Coturnix japonica: one gene and its partners. The protein of the gene in region 1 purifies or fractionates together with the protein of each later gene. This does not show direct contact. Links are inferred from orthologs where the notes say so. Each region holds a gene or a part of one and is shown in the gene's direction. Other genes may lie near its edges.

Region 1 (5,866 bases):
AAGCTTCCTGCTGCTTTGCAGGCTGAAGGCTGATCAAAGCCATCCTGATTTACTGTCACTTAGCTGTTTTCAGGCACTTTGCAGACTTGTTGTGACTTATAAAGGCAGCTGGCCTGTACCCATCAGTTGTATAGTCTGATGTAGCCCTATAGGTTTATAGTATCAGCTCTGCTGGCTCTGAGACATCTCTAATGCTGGGGTAAAAGCTGTTCTGTGAGGAAGTAGGCAGAGGGCATGCAGGCTGTTTGTGAGATATATGAGTAATCCTTAGCTTATTCAATCCTATCTGTGCCATCACAGAGGCAGGGCTTCATTCAGGACCTGTGTGAGGATGGAGTATTGCTGGGGGCTCCTCTGATCAGCATTGGAGGTGGTGTCTCTCACACCACCACCAGTGAGAACTGGAATCAGTCATTGGAATGCTGAGGAATGTAGGCACCTTGGGCATGTTGTGTGCTGGTCTGCTTTGTGGGAGACCAGCCCAGAGGGTCTCCTGGAACGTGGAATTAACTGTAAGTGATACTTCTGTGACTGAGTGTTACAGTACTAAGTGCAGTAGTTCTCTTTATAGTGCTGTTGTCTAACTGGACAGTGCTGATGGCATAGAAAACACAACAGCCATTCTTATCAAGCTGTTAGATCCACTTCTTGTCTCTTCTGTTCTTGGAGGGGTATTTTTCTTCGTGGCCTTGAGCTGGGAGCTGGGCTTTTGTTTAAGTGGGACAGAGCAGAACTGCAACTCTGAAATTTGTTCCACTCCATGCTCTGCAAGGGTGTGCTGAACATAGAAACAGAAACCTGTTTCTTGGCTCTTGCAAGAAAGGAACTGGCATCTCTAATGTGCAAGAGCTGTGGGTATGTGTCATGGTTAACCTGTGACAGTATGTCCAGATGTGTGACTGTCATCTCAGTTATGTGTAGTGACAGCTTTCATGAAACCTTTCTTTTTTCAGTTTTAAGATGAGTCTGGAGCAGGCAGCTCACCAGGCTGAAGAGCACTGTGAGGTGGAAATCATGGGATAAGTCCTTTATGCTGAATAGTCTTGAAACTCACATAGGGAGTGAGAAACGCAGTACAATTGCACCATGTGGTTCCTTTTGACTCTTCTATTTGCGAATACCTGGTTTTTCTGTTGCACGCAGCAGCACAAATTGCATCTCAGTGTTCTCTCTGCTCTCTGGAGCTGCTTCTCTTCCAGAATGTTTTCTCCTGGATTTTTCTGTAAAGCAGATGTTTCCATACTCTTGGTTTTCTGAAGCCTTGTCTGGTTGGTGATTTAAGCTCAGACCTGAAATGGAGCAGGAGGCTCGGGGGGAATGTAAGACCTAAGGAACTGAGAAGGTTTCTTTCTTCAGACAGAACAAACCTTGTTTTGGTGATCTAAAAGTTCATTTAGTGCAGTCAAGTGTACACGGAGTACAACCCTTATTGTCCTCAAGTGATCCTGGCAGACAGAGTTGTTGGACTGACTTGATATTGGTTCTGCCTGCTGTGCTTCTTGGCAGTAGAAATAACCTGTGGACATGCCTGTCTTTTGAACAGATATGAAGTCTGCAAGCCAAGTGAAGATGGCTCAGAGTACATTACTTTGTCTGTTTACTTTCGGGAAAAGGCAGCGAGGCAATCCAGCAGCACTTCAGGGACTGTGCTCTTTGGTCAACCACTGCTGGTATCTGTGCCAAAACACAAGCTCACTGTGGATCACTTGTACGGTGTCGTTTTGGAGCGGATCAGGTAAGTCACATCTGTACCTTAGTGCAAAATTCTAGTGTTAGCTCACTGAATTAGACTATGCCAGGATCACTGCATCCTTTTTGATAGGAAGATCTTTCCTGGATTTGTCTCTGGGGTACCAACCAGTGTTTGCATTGTGCTACTGCCTGGAGGCCACAGGGATGTCCTGAGGTCCTGGTTGTCTGGGCTCTGTAAAAGCTTCCCATTACATAATACAGATGGTGGTCCCATGGGAAGTTACATGCTTGGTGCTGCAAAACAGATCAGAAGCACTGCGTGGGAAATGTGAGGGCTCTCATGTGGGTCACCATAACTTGTTTTTGTATTTCCCATCTAACACCTGTTAAACTCGGTACAAGCAGTGAGAACGTAGACTTTCCGAGTTGGTTTTGTTTGAGAGCTTTTGATGCTGTGCATAATAAATTGTGGCTCACCAAGGGGATTGACGGGGAGGGTGCAGTTGTTGTGATGTACTGTTTTGTTACAATTGTGGAATTAAAATGTTCCCTCTGTTAAGTCGCTATGTGAAACTCCCTGTGGCAGAAGTATACTCCGCACCTTGTCCAGACAGAGGAGCATGCAATGGCTCCAGCAGTGTGGCTGAAGGTAAAGTCTTTTCAGAATTACTTGGAAGCATTTTGGTCTTGAAGCTCTTGTTATCATGTTGTTTGTGCTGTGTGTAATTGGCTTGAGCTCCTGCAGTTATTTTTAGCTCTACATAATGATGATATAGCACTGTGGCAGAGGGCTGCCTTACTATGAAAACGACCAAATGCAGCCTTTTGGGATGTTTCTTAGAGTGTGCTGTCAGATGGTGTGATGTGTTAACCTATGTTGATTGAGTGTATTTCATCATGCCTGACAATAGGATGTGAACCCTGATGTTTTTCCTGGCCTTGGTAAGGGATAAAATACAGCTTCAGTCTGAACTTTTCACTGACGGGCTTCAATATTGGGCTTGTTTTACATTTTGCCAGGTGACATTGAAGAGATGGAGCATCAGGATGATGGCCAGGAAGGCAGGGAGAAGCTGGCAGAAGTTGATTCCTGCCCCTCTGAGGGCTGCATGCAGGTTGAGCCAACGAGAGGCCTGCAGCCTTGTAAGAAGCAGTATTTCACTTTCAGCCTTGTGAATTTATACGGGACCTCTGAGATAAACTCTATTGTAGAAGGAAAACTCTTGAAATTGAATGGTAACTATTGTCCTGTTATCCTTCCTCTTCTTCCTCCTTCCTCCAACAAATGGGCAGCAAAAGTTTTTTCTTGTTTCTTCTAGCTTTTTCTACGCTTGCTATTGACTGGGATTCTGAAACACGGAGGCTGCTCTTTGATGAACAGGAGGCACAGGTTGTAGTATGCTCTTTTCATAAGTGTTTTATGTGTAAACTTAGTGCATGCCATAGTACACAGCATGATACTTCAATAGATCACAGTAATAAACAGCTGAAATTGTGTGGCCCTCTGCCCAGAGGCTGCAGTCAACAACATGGGGTGAGTTGGTCAAGATAAGACCTGCAGATCTGTTACTGTTCGTCTGCTACCAGTGTTCCTAAAGGTAGAAACTTTAATTTCTAAGTTGTCTAGTTCATAATCTACTCAAATTAATAAGCAGAAAACCACACACACAGAACCTTCTCCTTACTAAGAGACCACACTTAAGCAATTGAGTGGCTTGGAGATGAGAGCTAGCTCACTTGAAGGTCAGTGTCAACCATGATTGCTCCTCTGGGAGTTGGTAGCTTCTTTGCCCCAGTATCATTCTGGTTTCTGTCAATCACTTCAATACATTTAGCATGTGCCACAATGATTTAGCATGTTTTGGTTGTTCCAGCAGTGTGAACTTGGGCACGTTCATTTTCACAGTGGCAGGGATTAAAGTCTATGTGAATTGAATAAAACTTGCATCTCTTTCACTAGGCATTTGAAAAGCATGCAAGTGTGTTACAACCACAGAAGATGAAGGCAGTGGTAGCCCTTAAAGACTGCATAGAGCTCTTTACTACAATGGAAACTCTGGGTGAACACGACCCTTGGTAAGAGCTTCTTTCTCCCTTTTTATTTATTATAAAAATCTGTAACTGCTTGAGATCAGATGATTTGTCCCAGGATTCTGATCATTTCCCATGTTTGTCTTTTAGTCTGTGGGATGTGTCTGTTTTATGGTCAGTCATTGACTGAGTAGGCTGCAGGCATGGGCTAATAAGGGGTGTATTTTTTCCTTGTTTCCTGCCTGCATTTAAAAAAGGCACTGTGTATGTAGAGATTGATCTATTTTTGATCCCCCACCATACGTCTGACTTTCAGACAGCATCAGAGGAAGCATTTGTGATAGCAGTGAGAGCAGCTGGCTACTTTATAGTGCTTGGTTCTGCACTATTTTATTTGCAGCTTGTACCAGTCCTGAAGCACTCTTAGTTTTACTGAGATCCCTTTTCATCCAGTAGGATGTTTTAGCAGCAGAGTGAAAGTAAGAGGTAGTTTGGAAACCTCCAAGGAACTGGATGTTCCGTAAGCCAAAATGGTCTTCTGTGAGGCAGGGACTGAACCACACGATTGATGTATCCTCTGACATCTTTCAGGTTTCTTATTTTTACTTTTTTTCCTCAGGTATTGCCCTAACTGTAAGAAGCATCAGCAGGCCACAAAGAAGTTTGACTTGTGGTCACTGCCCAAGATTTTGGTAGTGCATCTAAAACGCTTCTCATACAGCAGATACTGGAGGGATAAACTTGACACTGTTGTTGAATTCCCTATCAGGTAAGATCCTTCCTTTGAGCTAGTTTTCATATGAAGACCTGATGCTCAGAGCTGTTATTCATTTGGTCCCTCCCTCAATCACTTTGCAGCACCCCATGAGTTTACCACGACCTGCTCTGTGTGGCAGGGCTAATGTTTGGGTCTCGGCACTGAAAACTTCAAGCTGTTGAGCATCAGAGCATAACACTTAGCTTCACTAGTGCTGTCTGCTGACAGAGCTTCACTGATGTGGAAGCAGAGATTGCTGGCATACTGATATTTCTGGATTTTCTTCCAGGGGTTTAAACATGTCTGAGTTTGTCTGTGACCCAAGAGGAAGCTCATATGTCTACGACCTCATTGCAGTTTCCAATCACTATGGAGCCATGGGAGTAGGCCACTGTGAGTGATTGTTTTCCTGTTCTTTCATGCAAGGGACGTACAAAGGAGGGACTGGAGGGGGGCTCTGTGCACTGTGATTTACAGCGGTCCTCACCAAGGCTTTCTAGTACAGTGTCAAACATGGAACTGTAGAAAGCAGCTCTTGGACAGCCTTGCACAGTTGGTTTGAGTTTTGAATGTCACTGGTGCAGTGCTTCCCTGAACCTGAAGTTTCTTCTTCCAACAGACACTGCCTATGCAAAGAACAAGGTGAATGGCAAGTGGTACTACTTTGATGACAGCAGCGTGTCGTTGGCTTCAGAAGACCAAATAGTGGTGAGTACTTGGCCTGAAGCTAATCCGAGCTCATGCTGCAAGTGTGGTCCCTTTCCTTGAGCACTGTGTTTCTAGCCAAGCCACATGGATTGTTTCAGTCTTTCCAATTCTTTTGCTTTTTGTTTGGTAGACAAAAGCTGCCTATGTGCTGTTTTATCAGCGCCGAAACGAGGAACATGTTGCCCCATCTCCTCCCCAAGAAGAGTGTGACGGCATGGATACCAACTAAAGCACCGCCTCCAGCACTCGGCCGCCGTGTTAGAGGTCCCTCCTAAAGCCATCTCTGAGGCATCTGAAGTTTTTTCTTTCTTCTGTAGGAGTTGAGCAGAATATCTAGCACTGAAAGATTCGGTGCTTGGGGTTACAGAGCAGCACCGGAGAGCCAGGAATAGGTGCTGACTCTCGGATATTTAGAGGCCAAAAATAATATATATTGGAGCTTTGATAAAGTTCTTTCTAAAGTCTGTCTGAGCTGTGTGGCTTGAGGCAGGGGTCAGGGCTGAGCTGGGGCTGTGGGATGTGGGCTGAGGTCTGTAGCTGGGGTTGGGGTAGTACAGCCTGAATCGGAGGTTACAGCTGAGTGTGGTGGGGCCCATGGAGGAGTGCGGTGGGTAGGATTCTGTGCATTGGTCCAGGGGCTTCCTGTCAGCCCTGTGGTGCTGCTGATGGGCCCTGCGT
Region 2 (5,866 bases), on another chromosome or scaffold:
GGCATGAGTTATGCCAATTATAGATTCACGCATGCTGAAGTGTTCGTGTTAATCAGAATGGTGGTTTTAAGAATGCTTACAATAACCTTGACACAAGTTGATCTCTTCAGAAGTCCGCTTATATTGTATACTGCTCGCTTGATTTCTTGGAGTGTTTTCCATCAAAAATGTCATCTACCTACTGTGTTACATCTTCTGAAGGTGTATATGGTACATAATAGCTAGCGGTATGATGGTATTGTCAAAGATGCCTATAGCATAACTGCAGTTTCAGGAGCCATTCCTAGATGAACTGTTCTCAGCTCTAAATAACGCCCCTATAACCAGCCTGTGGCATCCCTTGGGTGCTGATATTCCAGAGGAGTGCTTGATGCAAGTGGAATTCTGCACATGCAGAAAGGGGAAGCAGGGCCAGGTCCCAGTATCCATTACAGGAGAGCCATGCGTTTCTTAGTGCGTGGTGTTATGTGAATTTGCTACTTGTAATGTCATCTAGCTGCTAACAGCCATGCAGAATATCAGACATATCCTAGTGAGCATTTGTGCTTCAGAGGAGGAATAATACATGCTGCAGTGACTATCTTGCACATTTTTCATTGTTCTTACTTTATTGCTGCACAACTGGCAGTAGACTCCCACTCTGTTATTAGTGACTCAGAGATTTAAGTGTTGACCTGAAAAAGCTGGAGCTAATTCAGGGAAGGCTGGATGCATGAGCAGCTTGTGTTAGGTTTCATGAGAAAGAAGGGGATCAGTAGTGTATTGGAAAGGCTGTTATGCCTTGTACAAAATTACTCAAGGCTAAAAGACTGGTTTGAAGGCTCTGTGTCCCTACAGAGCGTTTCCAGTGCTCTCAGCAAAAGCTTTGCTCTATAGGAATCACACTAGCAACGCTAATCTGGTGCCCTACATTTGCTGATGGACATCAATTGTCAGGTGGCTGGAGGTGATCTGAATCTAAACTGAAAAATTGACTTTATGGTTTAAAAGGCAACCATCTGGTTTACATGTAGGTTTCTTAAATGGCAGAAGCTTTGAGCATGATCTCTTGGCAGAAGAAAATACACTGTAATGTTTGCACACAAAAGCAGTTAGTATGGGCTGAAAATAAAAGATACGTGTATTTTCTGCTGAGGCAAACACTTGAAATACTGCAGTAACCTGTCGGTATTAGCTCAGTCACCAGTAGATGGCAATATTGCTTATTCCATATACCATCCATATGATTGGAAAACTACGAAGAAGCTGTTTTTATCCAGAAATAAAAAACAGTTTTTGATATGTCTGTTAAAACAAAACACATGTATGTTTGACAGTAGTAACTATTTGTTGCATAATTTGTGTTAGGTTACGTTTGTCTCAGACTCTAGAGAGGAGTGTTTTGATTTCAGAGGACTTATCGTTTAAATCTTTGACATCGTCAGTCTTAGGTTTCTCTGTCTTAGTGAGACGATTTACCTCCTCCAGCTGCTCCCCACCACTCCTTTGCTGGAGGCTCCTACCCTGCAGAGCAGTTTTTATATGCATTCTTTAAATTGTTCATTAGGAAAAATCATCTGATTTAAGGTAACCCACCAGTTTTACTTGAGATTAAGAGTAGCTATTCAAGCTACATGGATGAGTAGGTCAGAGATGTTGTCATGAGCATCTGGGGGCAGCCAGTCTTCTACTGGCATATCTTCAGGAGAATGTGTGCACACGCTGAAGGTCTGAATCTACATTGGTACGTCCCTATGGACTTCTGATGGTTTTCATAGTTTCATAGTTTCATAGTTTCATAGTTTCATAATTTCGTGCGGGTTGGAAGGGACTTTAGAGATCATCGAGTCCGGCCCCCGGGATTCGAGCCTCTGTGTAGCAGAGCGGCACTTCTACCACTTGCGCCACAGGGGGGATTCGAACTCCGGGCCCCAATAAGCACTGGTTTCTAAGCATATTACTAGGATTACCTTCAGAAAGTTTCAGTATCTACAAATTTAGTGAATAAAACATTTGCTAGTACTGACTAGTTCTGCAGGTTTTAGATTTCTGAGATTTATCACAAATTTTAAATGTAAAAATTCTTTGACACCGATATTTGCATGTTGGTATGGATATGACAGAGAGGGAACTTGCAGAACTCCAGCAGTGTCTGGGTTTTCCTTCTCTTTGAGGGCCATTTTGATTTTATAAGCTGAGAATCGGTTAGGAGTCAGTTCTATTTCTAATGGTGCCATCAGTTCACTGTAGGTCTTCAAATACATAATTTAATATCTGTTTTGTTTTACTTCTCCTTACATATAAAGAGAATTACATTATACGTGTGTGTGCATGCATGTGTACATGTATGCATATATACATAAAGACAGCAGTTTGAAAGTAGTAATTGGCAAATATTTTCTATTATTAGATACCAAGACTGAGCTTTACTTTTGGTATTTGCAAGTAAGAAAGAATATTATCAAACTTCAGGGCTTACTGGCCTGATGGAAAACTTTACAGCTAAAAGTACTCATTATTTAATAATAGTGTTTGCCTGACAGGTAGGCTGTATCGCATTTGAACCCATGACTGTGTTCTCAGTTTGGATGGAGGACCTTTTAACCTGGAACTGAATCATACAGGAGTCCTGAACCGGAGGTTCATGGAACTGGACCGATCTCCCACAATTTCTGTACTTGTTGCAAATCAGTCTGCATCTTTAATCATCTTAATTCCTATAGAATTGATTGAACAGGTTATTTAATTGATATTTTTTATGTGGACAGGTAATCTCACCTCAGCGCATTCCTGCTACTGTGACTCCTACCTTATTGATGTCCCCAATGGTGTTCACTCAGCCCACACCTGCTGCACCAAAAGCCAACGAAGGTGGGCGGTTAGCAGCATCAAACCAAGAACCTGCTGCTAGCTCTGCTAACCTTCTCCTACCACTGCAAACCCCAGAGCCACCTGTGATCAACAGCAGCTCAGTGACAAAGATGCAGCTGCAGGAAACACTTCTACACTTGATCCAGGTAAAGTGCCACAAGTTTTTCTACTTCAATTTAAACCTTTATTACCATTTCGATATGAGCACCTGGTCACCTAAGCACCTGGGCATCTAATGAGTTTTGTATATGTGCCTAGATGGATAATTAAGTATGTGCTGGAAGCTTTTTATGGCTGTGTTAATTGAGTACTATTCCACAGAGTAGGAAGGTGATAGCATCTTCTTGCTTACTGTTAGCTTAAATGCACTCTGATTAATCAATGTAGTTTGAGGTTAAGGAAAGATGATACAATTGAAGGAAAATAATAAAAATGACCGAAAGCTTCAAAAGGCTGTCCCAAGAGGTGGAAAGATACCTGTTGTATTTTTAGCAAAGTAAGGGGTGTTTATCTTAGCAGACAAATACTTCAAAGAGCAAGAAGAATTCAGATGGGAAGTGTGAGCAACTTTAAAATATGGGTTAGGTAACCTAAAAGCGTGCTAGTTCAATCTATTCTATATAATTCTCTACTTGAAATGCTGAATTTCCTCTTGCTAGAATTATTCAAGTTTAAATCTGACAAAGCATTAACAGCATGTAGGAGATGACTGTTTACTGCTCTGTGATTATGTGAATTATGATTTTTTTTTTCAGTAACTTACTGTGAAATTAATACCTGAAGAGTAGAGACTGTAGAATTAAAGAACTGGCTATAGTGTGTAATGAATGGAGGCACGGGTTGAAGTGTCCAGTTTGTAGGCCAAACTATGCCTATGTGGCTTGGCAATAGAATATGCCTTTATTGGAATGCTGAAGTGAGTCACATAAAATGAAGTTTAAATTATAGATCTATAAATAAAATAGTGTCTTTAAGGCATTAGATGTTCATCTCATTTCCCTCCTTATTTTTATGTTGGGTCTAAAAAGAAAAATACTGTAATATTCTGTCTTACGTACATGGAATATCTGGATAATAGGAAAGCCATGTATGAAATTAAAAAGGAGAAAACAAGATTCTGTGCACTGAAACTGTATCTGTAAAATGCATGTTCGGTTGCGCTGTTCTTGATGACAGCTGGGATTAACTGTGTTACCTGGAAATTATTTACTGTTTAATAACGGGATGCTGATTGCTAGTTCCTTAGCTATCATTTTCTGTTATATAACACTACAATCTCAGTTGCTCCTGGTTTTCCTCAAGGACTATCCTGATTTTAATTATCTTCATATGTTTATGTAAGCTACTTAAGACATCTTTTCTTAGTGTGAAATTGCCAGCTCTTGCAAAAAACGGTCTTCTAAAGAGAAAAGTTAAACGTGCATCAGAACAAAAGGAGCAGAGCGTGGTGGAAGCATTAAGACTAAAATAATTAAACAGTCTAATATTGGTCGGACAAAGGGGCAATGGCTTTAAACTAAAAGAGGGGAAACTAAAAGAGAGTGAGATGTTAAGAAGTAATTTGTTACTCAGAGAGTGGTGAGCCCTGGTACAGGCTGCCCAGAGAAGATGTGGGTGCTCCATCCTTGGAGGCGCTCAAGGCAAGGTTGGATGGGTGGCAGCTCTGCCCATGGCAGGGAGTTGGAACTGGATGAACTTTAAGTTACTTCAAACCCAAGTCATCCTGTGATAAACAGGATGAAAGTGTTTGCCCAGGTGGGATTTAGTATAGGAGCAAAACCCAAAGTGTTCCACTGTTCCTTCAGAGACACAATAATCAATGAACTAATGGAAGAAACTTAAGGAAACTGTTTGGTAAATGGGGGCAAAGAAAAGCAATTACAGGATTATGTCATAGAATCATAGAATCCTCAGAGTTGGTAGGGGCCCTTAAAGGTCATATTGTGCAACACCCTTGCAATGAACAGGGGCATTAGATCAGGTTAGTTAGATCAGGTTGCTCCGAGCCTGTACTCTCTACAGTATCATGCAAGAACAGCATACTCAAGATAAATCAGTGTGAGTTTGGAAAGCTTACTTTCTATCTATTCATTACTGCTTATAGAGTCGTGCTTCCCATCCAGTTATATATTACATCCAAGCCATAGAATGTATGCCTGAAAAGGAAATACCCCTTCTGTTGTGTGCTTCTAAGATAGAGCAAGGTTGAAAAGTATTTTGTCTGTGAAATGGAAGTAAAACCTTATCTGTTTACTCAGTAATGTCTCCTTGGTAGTAACGATTGTGTTTTGTTTTTCAGAACGACGACAACTTCTTAAACATTATTTATGAAGCGTATCTCTTCAGTGTGAGAAAGGCAGCAATGAAGAAATCCATGTGAAAGATGGTTGCTTTTTAATTTCTGTTACTTTCTGAATCCCAGGAAAAAGGCTTCCAAATTTTCAAGTAATGTCCCATTTAAAGAAATAAATGGTCTTGGGCATTTTGCATACACACAGATTTTGCTCCTTAGCAAGTCCATGTTGTACTTAGAAACAAGTGGGTGGAAATGGATTGTGCCTTCAGGGAGGGGAGCGTCACAGTGCTGAAAACTTAACCACACAATATTTGTCTTAGACTGGCCCATACTTAGAATTGGTTTTCCTGCATTAAGTCACCCTTCTCAGAACTCAGTTTCGTTTTTTCCTGACAGCGTGGTTATTCGTTGGCTGGGTGCCTTTCCTCCCCTGTCACACGCGACTTCTACGATGAACGATGCCCGTTTCTGACCACATGGTGGCAATGTTGGACTTTTTTTTTTTAAGGTAAATGAAGATCTGGTGGAATTTTGGAACTGAAAGTCTTAGGTAAACTGTTGTGTCACCTTACTTAGTTGTCTGCAGAGAGATTTAGAAGAAATGTCATGACTATCCCCGAAAATTTTGTAGAGAAATCTTTTTCTATTTTAATAGGAATATTTTTAGCTAGCCGTAGAAGTGGAACTCTGCAGCTGTTTTGATGAATTAGGGGGGAGGGT
Region 3 (5,866 bases), on another chromosome or scaffold:
GCTACAGATGAATAGAATTCTTTATATCCTGCCTTTTCCCACATTGATCATTTTTCTGCTTCATATTTAGTCATTTTCTGTTCTGTGCTTCTCAAGATTTTCAGTTATAATCTTCTGTATCTCATTAGGCTTTACTTTAGTAATATCTTTCCCATATTCTTTTGTCACTGTATAATGAATATATCATTGACATTCAGCTGTAAACTCAACAAATAATGAATAATATTATATCTCATTTATTTAGCATGTTTGTCTGCACAGTGCCTTACTGCAGCACATGAATTACAGCTAGCTTAAACTCAGGCTTCCTGAAATCCTATTTCACTGTCTTATTTATTTATGTTAATTTTTGTTTTAAAAAAAAAAAAAGAGAGAGAGAGAGAGAGAGAAACAACAAACCCTGAAATGTTTTCTCTGAAGATTCAGAGTTTGGTTCTGATTTGTCTTTTCTTGTCATATTCAGACCTGAAAGAAAAACCTTTAGAAAACCTTCAGTGGAGCATAGACCCAGGAGCTGACCTTGCACAGTACAAAATGGATGTAACTGTGATTGATACAAAGGTGAGCCATCGCTTTGCAACAGGTTGGCATGTTCCATAATGTTGGACAAAAAGACTTTAGAAGTAATATCATGACCTTCATTCCAGGCAGATAAAACCTACTTGCTAACTAAAATCAATTTGGGACACATGATGCTTTTTCATGCTCCTATATAATGTTTGTTTATTCAGTTATCCTGTAGCATTTCAACTGTCTTGTTGTATTTGATAGACTTTGCCATGTGGTGGGTATTCAGGGTGAAACAGATGGACTTGATGGTATCTTAGAATTTTGTTGAACAGAAAAATGTTTTAAATCTCATGATTTTTCCAGTATGTCTGGAATAGACTACCCAGGGACACTGTGGATGCCCCATCCCTGGAGGTGTGGTGTTCAAGGCCAGGTTGGACGGGGCCCTGGGCAACCTGATCTAGTAAACATGGAAGTTTGGTGGCCCTGCCAGGCAGGGGGGTTGGAGCTTCATGATCCTTGAGGTCCCTTCCAACCTGGGTCATTGTGTGATTCTGTGATTTTTTTTCCCTGTGAAAACATTCATGAAGACATCTCTCTTTGTTAAGTAATAGAAGTTGTGCAGTTCATGACAATTGTCCTTATATTTGTGTACAGGTTGCCTATTAGAAATAGCAGGATGGCTGAGAATCCTCCTTTCTTTCTGAGAATTTGTTGGCTTTCTCTCAAATGAGATCTATCCTAATGTGTTTTTCTCTGTAGAATTTTAACATGAAAACTTAAAGCAGTTTCTTCTTGTCTAGCAAGTAATGTAATTTGCCAGACAAACGTCACTGTTCCTGGAAACTCTTTGGACAAAAATAGTTTTAGATGTATAGTAGTACTGTTGATTACAACAATTGCTTCTGGGTGTAATTGTCCTTTCTTTTTATTCAGGATGATTCTCAGTCAAGAATCGGAGGAGAAGTTGTTGATATGGATTATACATATGTTAGTGAAAGTGTGCTACTGAAAATGAAAAATCAAGAGCAAACACAGGAAAGCAGTCCAAGTAAGACTTTAATTTTTCCCCTCTTTGTTTTGATTTATTTATTTATTTATTGGGGGGGGGGAGGGGAAAAGAAAGGATGTTTTTTCCCCATATGTGATTAGACAATACAAACTGGCTTGCAGCAAAAAGCACACTTATTTTTTGCAGTTACAAAGATCAACCTGTCTCCTACTACAGTGGATAATGGTTGTTTCTTTGTTCAAACTTACATTCTCTAAACAAGGTTTGTTGTAAGACAAAGCCAAAACCATGCTTTTACCATGCTTAAACAGTTTTTTTCCCCTATGTTCTAGCCTGGAATGAGCATGCTTACCACTAAGTGCTTTGAAAGGCTGATAGATAATCATATCAGACTTCCTATGGAAAGTTATTTCTCATTTTTAATAGCATGCAATTAGAACTAGTATAGTTAAAATAAACTCAGATGTGTTTATATTGCATCTAACATATGATATATGGTGAATCACAGTTGCAGGGCCATGTCTTCTAACAGTGATTGTGTTCTGGTTTTTTCTTTGAGGGTGGTGCTTGTCATTCTTTGTTTTTTGGTCTCTTGTTTTTTGCTTGTTAGGGGTTGTTTGCTGTCGTTGCTTTGTTTCTGTTTCAAGATTTTGCATTATGTATTATTATTGAGTTAATCAGTACTGGAGCTGGAAGAAGATGCCAGTTCTTTATATACATTCAGTCAAAGCATCCCTTCTTTACTTAAATTGTTGGGACTGATTTGGAATGTTCGTTGCTCACGTGTTTTGTTGTGTTTTTTTTTTTTTTTCCCCACAATAGGAAGAGAAAAAAAAATGAATGATACCATAACAGAAATGTTTGATCGGACAGCTGATGAAGAATATGAATCATGCCTACCAGAAGATAGTCTTTCTGCATGTGATGAAAAAGAAACCGTGCATGGTGAAGAACTGGACAGAGGAATAACAGTAGCAAACAAGAAACTGAAGAGTGAGACATATGTTTATCTTTTATCTCTTCTTTATTAGTCTGGTCAGACTGCAAAAGTTGTAGTCAGGGTCTGTTCTATAGGAACGGATACGTCAAATCATAGAATCATAGAATTACCCAGGTTGGAAAAGACCTTGAAGATCAAGTCCAACCGCAGCCTAACCAGTACCCTAACTCTAAAAACCCTACACTAAATCATATCCCTGAGCACCACATCCAAACGGCTCTTAAACACAACCAGGGATGGCTGTGTTTAAATAAACTGTGAGTTCATTGTTCATAAGTTCATGGGATGATTCACTCATTGTAGTACATTAATATAACAGATACAAAAATTGTTCTGTTGATTCATCTATATTACACACATACAAATATGGGAGCTGCAATGGAAGTTGACATAGAAGCTGTACAACAGAATTACACCTAAGGAAAACACCAGTTTTTGGCTGTAGGTTAGGACTGTGATTTACTTGCTTTCTGTGTTCCCCACCTATATTGAGATTTCTCAGTATTTTGTATTTTAAGCAGCCTTTCCACTCCTATTCTGCTCATCTTATCTCACTGCTCTTTTTCTTCTTCCCCCCTAATGCTTTGCAATCATTGACCAACTAATTCTATATTATTTTTACTTTCTATTTGTATCTCCTACCTCAGAGCAGCATGAACATGGCTTTTGTTGTACTTAATGTCTCTAAAATGATTAGTAGGCTGTTTCAGCAGGCAGTCTTTTAACCTTATGTGACATGTGGCTTTTTGTTCTGTGTGTTTACAGAGCATGAGGATAAACAAGATAAAGCCAAACAGAAAGCTTTTGTGGAGCCATATTTCAAAAGCGATGAAAGGTAATTTGCCTAATATAAATAATAATAAAAGTAGTTTGTTTAACATGGGTATTCTAAGGGTATTTACTTTTTAAAGAGAACTTGTTCTGCCAGAGAACAAACCAGTTCATATGCAACTTATTAGCAGCTGAAGATGCGCAGGTAAAAAGATACTGTGAATTAGATAAAAGCTGAAGTAGAGGGGAAAAAAGACACACGTTAAGGAATATCAATTATATCTGTTGCAAAGGAAGGAATGATATTTCTGCTCTTTATAATCCCATTGAACGAAGTATTTTGTAATCCCTGTGGTTTCTTGTGGGCGTGTAGCCATGTGTGTGTTTATCATCAAAGAGCTGATGGGTCGCTTGTATAAATAAGAAAAAAGTTGTTATCTCTGGGCTTTTTTTTTCCTTCCTCTAGGCAATAAATGAGGGATGCAAAATAACTGTGTCTTGGGGCTTCCTTTGTTGCCTTTCTGCCTAATCATCATTGATAGTCTGGGTCTTCATAATGATACCAAGCCCTTCACTTTAATAATTACTGTCTTTTTATTTTAACATTGGCCTGTTTTCTTCACAGATAAAGAATTTGTTTGGTGTTTTGTGGTTTCAAGAGAGAGCATCTTATTTGAAAACAATCTTAGTTCAGTGTTTGAATATCTGCAGGAGGAATGTCCTGCTGTGATCAGTGCAGGATCTTCTGAGTCCCAAAATGTGTTCTTCAGAACTCACATTTTTGAGTAATTCAGATCAAGCCACTTTTATATGATGAAAAGCCATAAACACTTGCCATGCATATGTGTGGGTTTTTTTAAAGGATTTTATTGTATTTTTAAAACTCTGGAACTATTTTAATTACTAAAGTAATCATATTAAAGTATGAAATGTAGTATGTTTGGGTTTTGTGGATGCTGTGACTTTTTTAAGCTAACCATTATTTTATCCTAAAAGAAAAAAGTAAAAAAAGGGAAATTCTCAGACATGTAGAGGAAATAAATGCTTTATCATATGACAACATTTTTGTTTTTCAGGAAGAATACTATGTTAGATTTTCCTCATATTGAGGTGATTCGAAACAAAGAGGAAAGAAGAAAATTGCAAGGGCATACTTGTAAGGAATGTGAAATTGTAAGTAGTGTTGGTAGTTTTGGTCTTCTATGTGAAGGTATATGCAAACATACACAAAAAATTATATTACCAGGAGAATAGTATGGGGTTTTTCGTCTCTCCTTTACAAGTTTTTTCCTTTAAAATTACTGAACTGCTTACATATCATTTGAAGAAAGATACAATATTGACATAATTACATGCATAGAAAGGACATATTTAATTTGATTCTGAGAAGGCTGAGTTAGTTAGGGAATAATTTCATAAGTTAACATGCCAGAAGTGCTGATTAATGGCTGAATAATGATGGATTCTCTTAGGAGTCTTTTGGAACCAGTGCTGTTCATAGATCCTGCTGCTGGTCATTCTATAGCTAAGTTACATTTACTTAGCTGAAGAGATTTATTGGACTACGTTTTGGTCAAAAACATGTTCCTGAAAAATATCCTTGGTAAAACTCATTAAATTAGAATAATTTTTACAGTCAACAATAAATACCATTTTCAAAAATGTGCTTAATTCAGATAGTTTGAAAGAAAATGGGATATTGAAGGGAAGAAAAACCAAAACCTTTAGTCTATTTCTTGTCCCAGGAGCCACATGCTAGCTTTCAATTTCCTGCATCTGTAAGCTACAGATCAGTCAATCCAGTTCTTGTTACTTCCTGATAACTTAATTAGAGTGGTAATTCTGGAAACATTAATAGCCAGGATTTTTACAGTATTGGGTTTCTACATTCAGCCTTTAAAAAGGTTATATATATATATATTTATTTTTATTATTATTTTAAAGTCTAGGCCATTCAAGATGAATATCTTAGAATGTGAGGAATGCTTGGCAATAACACTGTAACATGCATGATAAAGCTACCTTTCAATGAAATGCCTGTGGGGAAAAAAAGGGAGTATTAGACAAAGCATAAGTAGTACTTTAAGAAGTCATGGCTTATTAGCCAGAAGGTTTTGAAAAGTTTCCTAAGTCTGAGGAAATGCTTAGGGAGTGGGTTGAAATCAGTAAATAGTTTCTAGCTAAGTGCTGGAAGCAATATTAGAGGGGTTGCCTGTTCAGTATGAGCTGATGTGAGAGATCTGACTTCTGCATGTGCTCTGGCAAACTGGTATTTGGGTCCTTTATGTCCTGGTCATAAGACTATTTCAAAGATCTCACAGTGTAAAATACAGTAAGATGTCTTCTGTTATGACGACTTCTCAGTGAGATCAGAGAAAGACTGCATGCAGGAGCTGCTTAGAGTTAATAAAATAAAATGTTAGTGTGATTCAGTCTCACTACACTTCCAGAGGGATAATCAGAGTTGGGTGTTTTAATATACATTTAGATTACAGAACTCGCTAAGCAACTGTGCTAAACTAACAGGAAGAGCATTTGAAAGATTTGTTCTCTTTAAGACCGCAGATAAAAGT
Region 4 (5,866 bases), on another chromosome or scaffold:
AGATGTGTTGGGAGACTGCTGCCTTCGCTCCCCATTTTCTATTAGAAACTTGTTTTTTTTCCTCTCACTCTCTGAAGGGGGTTTTAATACCTGCCAGAGAAGGGCCTCCTCTGGATCTCAGATACATTCATCCTTTAAAGAACAGTGTGTTTAAGCAGTTTCTATCCTGCCTGTTTCAGTACAGCAGCAGCAGTGCAACCTCATTCATTGATCTGGAGAGGGCTGGATTTTGGGTCTCCCAGTGAATGTTATAGCTTAAAGGACTACAGGTTTCTGCAGCTTTCTTGAACAGTGATGCCAATAAGCATCTACCAAATGTTTCTGTTCTGTGGTTCCACTTTAATTTGGGTTTTAGCCTGGTACACACACTTGTCATGCCACGCTGCCACTATAAAGCAAGATTTTGACTAGGCTGTTTTTCTGCTAGCTGTGCCCCCTCAATGCTTTTGCTTTTGACCTCTTGTGGATATGGAAGAGAGATAGTAACATCATGCATTGTATTGCTGCATAGTACTCTGTGGTGATAAGACCTCCTGCCACAGCATTATAGGGAGATTTGTACTGTCCTGTGGCACTGCTAACATGCACAGATCCCACACTTCTTCAGAAGTTAAATTCAGAGTTAACATGTTATTGCACCTGGCTTCAAACTGTCTTGTCCTCTCATCTTCCTTGTGGCAGTGGCCAGTGCACTGCAGAACAGGGGGAGGGGAGGGAGCAGCATCCTGTTGCAGCCTGGCAAGCTGTCTCACACTGCACATTGAGGCAGGGATGTGGCTGGGTGTGGGGTTGGTGACTTTTCTCCAGTGAAACACCTGCTTGGGTATCCTACATGACCACAGATAGTTGATGGTGTTCTTGGCTTCTAAACTGACCCAAAGCAGGCCTGGGATGCAGCAGAGCAGACCTATCCTCATCTCTTGGCTCCTGGTATGGAGACAGGCATCCAACCTGCCTTTCTCATCAGCTCCTGTCTCTGGAATTACATCTTGGAGATCCTTTGTCAAGATCTGTCCTCACCCTTTTGTAGAGTGAAATGGTTAATTGAGGCTGTCAGATCCTGATCCTGCATAGAATGAATTTTCCCACCACCACTTCATGTCTCAGAGTTGAATTTATACTTACACACTTAGCTCTATAGCATCAGGAAGTGAAATAATTCAGGATGGTACTTTCTAGTCATATTAGATGTCTTCAGCATTCCACCCAGCCTTTCTTCTCTCTCTGGTTAACTCTTGTGGGGTAGGTCATTGCTTGGGAAGTTTCAGGAACTAAAACGTAATGGTTTACACACTTTATACTATGGGCAAGTCCTTTCTCTTGAACTTGTAGGTTTTCCAAGAAGTACCTGTCTCTGGATGAGGATGTGTCCTTGTAGAATATGAACCATTATAGTGAAGAAGGGATTTCAACTAACGCTTACAACCGGTTTGTATATTTTCATTTCCAATAACGCTCTCACACACAATGCAGGAACACAATTGCATGGACAAATCCAGTTCACCATACACAAAACTGGCACTGACTAAATGAAATCCATAACCACCAACAACACAAGCTGGGGAGTGCTTGAATGGCACGGAACTCTGTGTGAAGCACACTTTTCTTTTTGGGAGATGGACACTTAATGCATTAAGTCCATCAGTGAGATCAGTCCTCCACTTGCTCTCTGAGCTGTGCTTCTTAAAAGCAACTTAGCTCTGGCTCAGAGCTGGATCCTACTGGATCAGGCTGTAAGGAGATGCTGTGGGTATCTCCCTGCCTCCAGGGTTTGGGACTGTGTTCTCCCTTTGGTCAGAACACAGTAGGATGGGAGCAGCTTTTGTTTTCACCCCCTCTGAAGTTGACTGAAAATACAAGTACCCTTAAGACCTGGTCACGCTAAGGTGTACAGGCTTTCTCCACCTCTCTGAGTAGCTGAGTGAGATCTTACATCTCCTCAATTCCTAATATCCCATGACCACATAAGAAAGCAATGGTGGCTTTTACACAGGTGTATCCCTGGAGTGTCTCCTGTTCTTTAAACTGCTGGATGGATCATCATTGATGCTTCTTTTGTGGGGAACCAGGGCACAGACTTCATGTGGGACTACCAGTTAGGGCAACCTGTGAGTGCCACCCTGGAAACTCAGACACTGCACTGCTGACCTTTCAGTGCTGGATTTGATTCTCATGGTGGTTTCTTGTCCCAAAACAGTGTTGATGATGGAAATTCTTAGCTTTTAATCACTTTTGTTTCTCTCTCCTTTTACCTCAGGATGTTTTTGGTGATGACTCTGAGGTATCCAAAGAATCTTCCGGTGTCAAGAAACGGCGCATACCACGATTTGAGGAGGTTGAGGATGAGCCTGAAGTTATTCCAGGCCCGCCATCAGAAAGCCCAGGAATGCTGACCAAGCTGCAGGTCAGTCTGACAGGGCTGTGTTACATCAGCTCTGTCTCCAGAACAGTGCTGTCTACCTCTGAGATCTCGAATCCTGATACAGTTAAATGTTTGTTTTATCCTGATTCACAAGCTGTGAAAGCAAATGGCAAGCTGCTTTTGGCCATCCTTTGTTTGCTGCAGTTGCTGCCCATCTTCTTTTCACAAAGCTCACTGCCTCTTATGCACTGGGCTAATGACAACATGGAGTCTTTAAGTGGGGAAAGTTTGGATGTTCACTTATAACCTGCAGTAACCAAGAGGAGAAAGTCTTAGTACCTGCACTGTTAGATTCCCTTCCTACAGCCAGCAGTCATCAGTTAAAGCAGCTTGATACAATTCTATTCTCATTAAGCTGCCTTGAGCTCATTTGCAGCTGTAAAAGGGCGCTGGTGACCTTTTCCCTCTTTCCAATAAAGTGGAGAAAAATTCACCATCCAATTTTGTTTCCACAGATCAAACAGATGATGGAAGCAGCCACCCGGCAGATCGAAGAGAGGAAAAAGCAGCTGAGCTTCATCAGTCCTCCAACACCACAGGTAGCTGCTGGATGCTGTGTAGCACACGGCTATGATGTGTTGACCTGAGTCTGTTAGAACAGCTGTGTAACAAAAAGTCATTTCTCTATCAACAGCCAAAAATTTCTTCTTCATCCCAATCGGAACGTCTCCCCATCGGCAACACGATCCAGCCCTCCCAGGCAGCAACCTTCATGAATGATGCCATTGAGAAGGCCAGGAAAGCTGCCGAGCTGCAGGCCCGAATTCAGGCTCAGTTGGCCTTGAAACCAGGGCTTATTGGCAATGCCAACATGGTGGGGCTGGCCAATTTGCACGCCATGGGGATCGCACCGCCGTGAGTAGCTGCTGTTTTTCTGAATGCTAATCCTGACAATGGAAGCTCCAGAGTGTTAATAGAAGGTGTAGCCAAAGGGTTTCCCCTATGCACCATCATTTCTAGCAGCTCTTTAGTGGCTGCTGAGGGAATGGATATGTTACAGAAGTGAAATGGAGGTTACTCCTGCCCTGAGTAACACTCAACTTCTCTGTACGTGAGATTTGAGTCCTTTCTGGCCTTGTAGATGAGAACTGAACAGTGCAAAGAAGCCATTTACAACATTTTCATGAGTTAAGAGGTCTGGTGCTTGCTATGGGAATATGGTTCTCAGTCCCTCTGAATTAATGCTAAAATCACACTGTAATGTCTTTGTTTTGCCACCAGGAAGGTAGAATTGAAGGATCAGACAAAGCCTACGCCACTGATCTTGGATGAACAAGGCCGAACTGTTGATGCGACTGGTAAAGAGATTGAATTGACTCACCGCATGCCAACCCTAAAAGCAAACATCAGAGCTGTGAAGAGAGAGCAGTTCAAACAGCAGCTTAAAGAAAAGCCCTCGGAAGATATGGAATCCAACACTTACTTTGACCCCCGGGTCTCCATAACCCCAGCCCAGCGTCAGAAACGCACCTTTAAGTTCCATGAAAAAGGCAAATTTGAGAAAATTGCCCAGAGGTTGCGAACGAAGGTATTTGAGGTCTTGCCATGCTAACTGACAGCACAGAAATGAGGGTTTGGTACAGGATAGGAGTTGATTCTCCTTTCCTGGGATGTGAAGGGAGCTGTGTTCACTTGATAAGAAGCTTTTTTGGTAAAGTCACACGTTGCTTTTTTTGTTAACGTTGTTCTTTATTGAAAAGGCAGATTTCCAAATGAGAATAGATTTGTGGAAGGCGCTTCCTCACTTGATAAAAGACAAAATCTGGTGGTTTGTTGTTCTGATTTGGCAAAGGATTTGGAAAATACCAAAGAGAATTGATAGTTCTCTGGCCAAGTCATCCTTCTACAGAAGTGGTCGCATTAGGGGTGTAGATTGAAAAAAATCTTGGTAAACTGCCCAAATATGTGGGGAAAATGGGAGAGAAGAGCTTCATTATGCAGAAAATCCCAGGGATGTGATGCCCAGAGAGACATTATTTGGGTTTCATTCTGTGCTCCAAGAAGGCTCAGTAATAACACCCAATTTTTAGCAAGTTTATTAGTAAAAGCACTTCATCATCTTGATTTGTGAGGTTTTCTCTGTGGTTTGCTTCAGATTTAAGCATATACATTTACATATTGGAAGATGCAAACATGCTACGCTTTTCCTGAAGCTGTGCTATTTGGGAATGACTTTTATGTGCCACTTTCCTCTCTTTGTTCTCAGGCTCAACTAGAAAAGCTGCAGGCGGAGATCTCTCAGGCTGCCAGAAAGACAGGAATACACACTTCTACCAAGTTGGCTCTTATTACCCCTAAAAAGGAGCTGAAGGAAGGGGAGATCCCAGAGATAGAGTGGTGGGACTCATACATCATCCCTAACGGCCTTGATCTGTAAGTGTTTTATGTACCAAGCTTGGACTGTTCTGCAGGAGGGAACTCTGGGAGTTTCTTGGGGATAATATGGGGCTTTCTGGTGCACTTTAGGCTGGACACATCTCCATGTGCTATTGAATTCTGCCACAGTCCCTGAGATACAGGCAGGCACTGGGTTTGCTCCCAGGTCTCTTCAGGGGTGTTGGTAGGCAGCTGCCCTTCTTCGAAGGCAGCATTCCTCCAGGGACTGAGCAGGTGACTGCCTTGCAGTCAGGGTGATTGTTTGGCCCGAGGTTGGTTGTGTGCTTTCTCAAGCACAGCTACAGGTTACTCACAAGTCTCATTCACATTTGAGCTGTGGCAAGCCTGTCTCTTAACTGAAATGTGTGTGGGTATTCCACCAGGGGTCATATCTATGCTGCATGCCTCTGTTTGATGCTTTGGGTAGAGGTTTGTGCATGTCAAATATCTGCCGTGATTTGTCCAAGGGAAGTGTTATTTTTTTTCCATGGCTTGTGTTTAAGGGAATGCAGGAATCCAGGCTGGGAGGTTTGCAATGATGCCCAACTCTCTCCTTTCTAGAAAAGGCGGAACATCTTCAAAGAAAGATGAATACTTTGGAATCACAAACCTCGTGGAGCACCCAGCACAGCTTAACCCACCAGGTACTGCCCTGTAGCACTCTGGTCTCAGACTATGCCCAATCTGGTTGACTAGATATAAAATACTCCATAAGGCTGACACTAGGCAGGGTGAACCAGCATGCTTGCCTCAGGCAACTGACTGTTGTGTCTCTTATCCTTGTGTAAAGTTAAGGAATCATATGAAAGTAAATATGAAAGTTCTGCAAAAACATCCAGAACTGAGAGGGGAGAGTTTCTGTCTGGTTTTCAAAAGGTTGGCATAACATTTGTTTTTATCTTGGCCTTGTTTCTCTTTGCAGTGGACAGTGACACACCAGTGACCTTGGGTGTTTATTTAACTAAGAAAGAGCAGAAGAAGTTACGGCGACAGACTCGGAGAGAAGCCCAGAAGGAGCTACAGGAGAAAGTCAGGCTGGGCCTGATGCCACCTCCAGAGCCCAAAGGT

Evidence for each region.
Region 2: the proteins of USP4 (region 1) and DCP1B purify together in Homo sapiens (co-immunoprecipitation; 3 studies listed by BioGRID and IntAct, with this or other methods). This does not show direct contact. The link is inferred for Coturnix japonica from reciprocal best matches to the Homo sapiens genes USP4 and DCP1B.
Region 3: the proteins of USP4 (region 1) and RBBP8 purify together in Homo sapiens (affinity purification with western blotting; 3 studies listed by BioGRID, with this or other methods). This does not show direct contact. The link is inferred for Coturnix japonica from reciprocal best matches to the Homo sapiens genes USP4 and RBBP8.
Region 4: the proteins of USP4 (region 1) and PRPF3 purify together in Homo sapiens (co-immunoprecipitation; 4 studies listed by BioGRID and IntAct, with this or other methods). This does not show direct contact. The link is inferred for Coturnix japonica from reciprocal best matches to the Homo sapiens genes USP4 and PRPF3.

What each region holds. Positions count from the first base shown.
Region 1 is NC_029527.1:1,667,740-1,673,605, reverse strand, and holds part of USP4 (ubiquitin carboxyl-terminal hydrolase 4), read left to right. Parts: intron 1-1,543; coding exon 1,544-1,735; intron 1,736-2,252; coding exon 2,253-2,341; intron 2,342-2,712; coding exon 2,713-2,928; intron 2,929-3,011; coding exon 3,012-3,082; intron 3,083-3,652; coding exon 3,653-3,768; intron 3,769-4,342; coding exon 4,343-4,492; intron 4,493-4,769; coding exon 4,770-4,873; intron 4,874-5,099; coding exon 5,100-5,188; intron 5,189-5,318; coding exon 5,319-5,417; 3' UTR 5,418-5,866.
Region 2 is NC_029516.1:51,561,978-51,567,843, forward strand, and holds part of DCP1B (mRNA-decapping enzyme 1B), read left to right. Parts: intron 1-2,747; coding exon 2,748-2,996; intron 2,997-5,149; coding exon 5,150-5,230; 3' UTR 5,231-5,866. UniProt on the Homo sapiens protein: May play a role in the degradation of mRNAs, both in normal mRNA turnover and in nonsense-mediated mRNA decay. May remove the 7-methyl guanine cap structure from mRNA molecules, yielding a 5'-phosphorylated mRNA fragment and 7m-GDP.
Region 3 is NC_029517.1:92,793,461-92,799,326, forward strand, and holds part of RBBP8 (DNA endonuclease RBBP8), read left to right. Parts: intron 1-463; coding exon 464-561; intron 562-1,446; coding exon 1,447-1,561; intron 1,562-2,344; coding exon 2,345-2,515; intron 2,516-3,287; coding exon 3,288-3,357; intron 3,358-4,369; coding exon 4,370-4,466; intron 4,467-5,866. UniProt on the Homo sapiens protein: Endonuclease that cooperates with the MRE11-RAD50-NBN (MRN) complex in DNA-end resection, the first step of double-strand break (DSB) repair through the homologous recombination (HR) pathway.
Region 4 is NC_029540.1:1,885,854-1,891,719, reverse strand, and holds part of PRPF3 (U4/U6 small nuclear ribonucleoprotein Prp3), read left to right. Parts: intron 1-1,332; exon of another isoform or gene 1,333-1,428; intron 1,429-2,257; coding exon 2,258-2,404; intron 2,405-2,877; coding exon 2,878-2,961; intron 2,962-3,056; coding exon 3,057-3,277; intron 3,278-3,643; coding exon 3,644-3,950; intron 3,951-4,628; coding exon 4,629-4,795; intron 4,796-5,359; coding exon 5,360-5,442; intron 5,443-5,720; coding exon 5,721-5,864; intron 5,865-5,866. UniProt on the Homo sapiens protein: Plays a role in pre-mRNA splicing as component of the U4/U6-U5 tri-snRNP complex that is involved in spliceosome assembly, and as component of the precatalytic spliceosome (spliceosome B complex).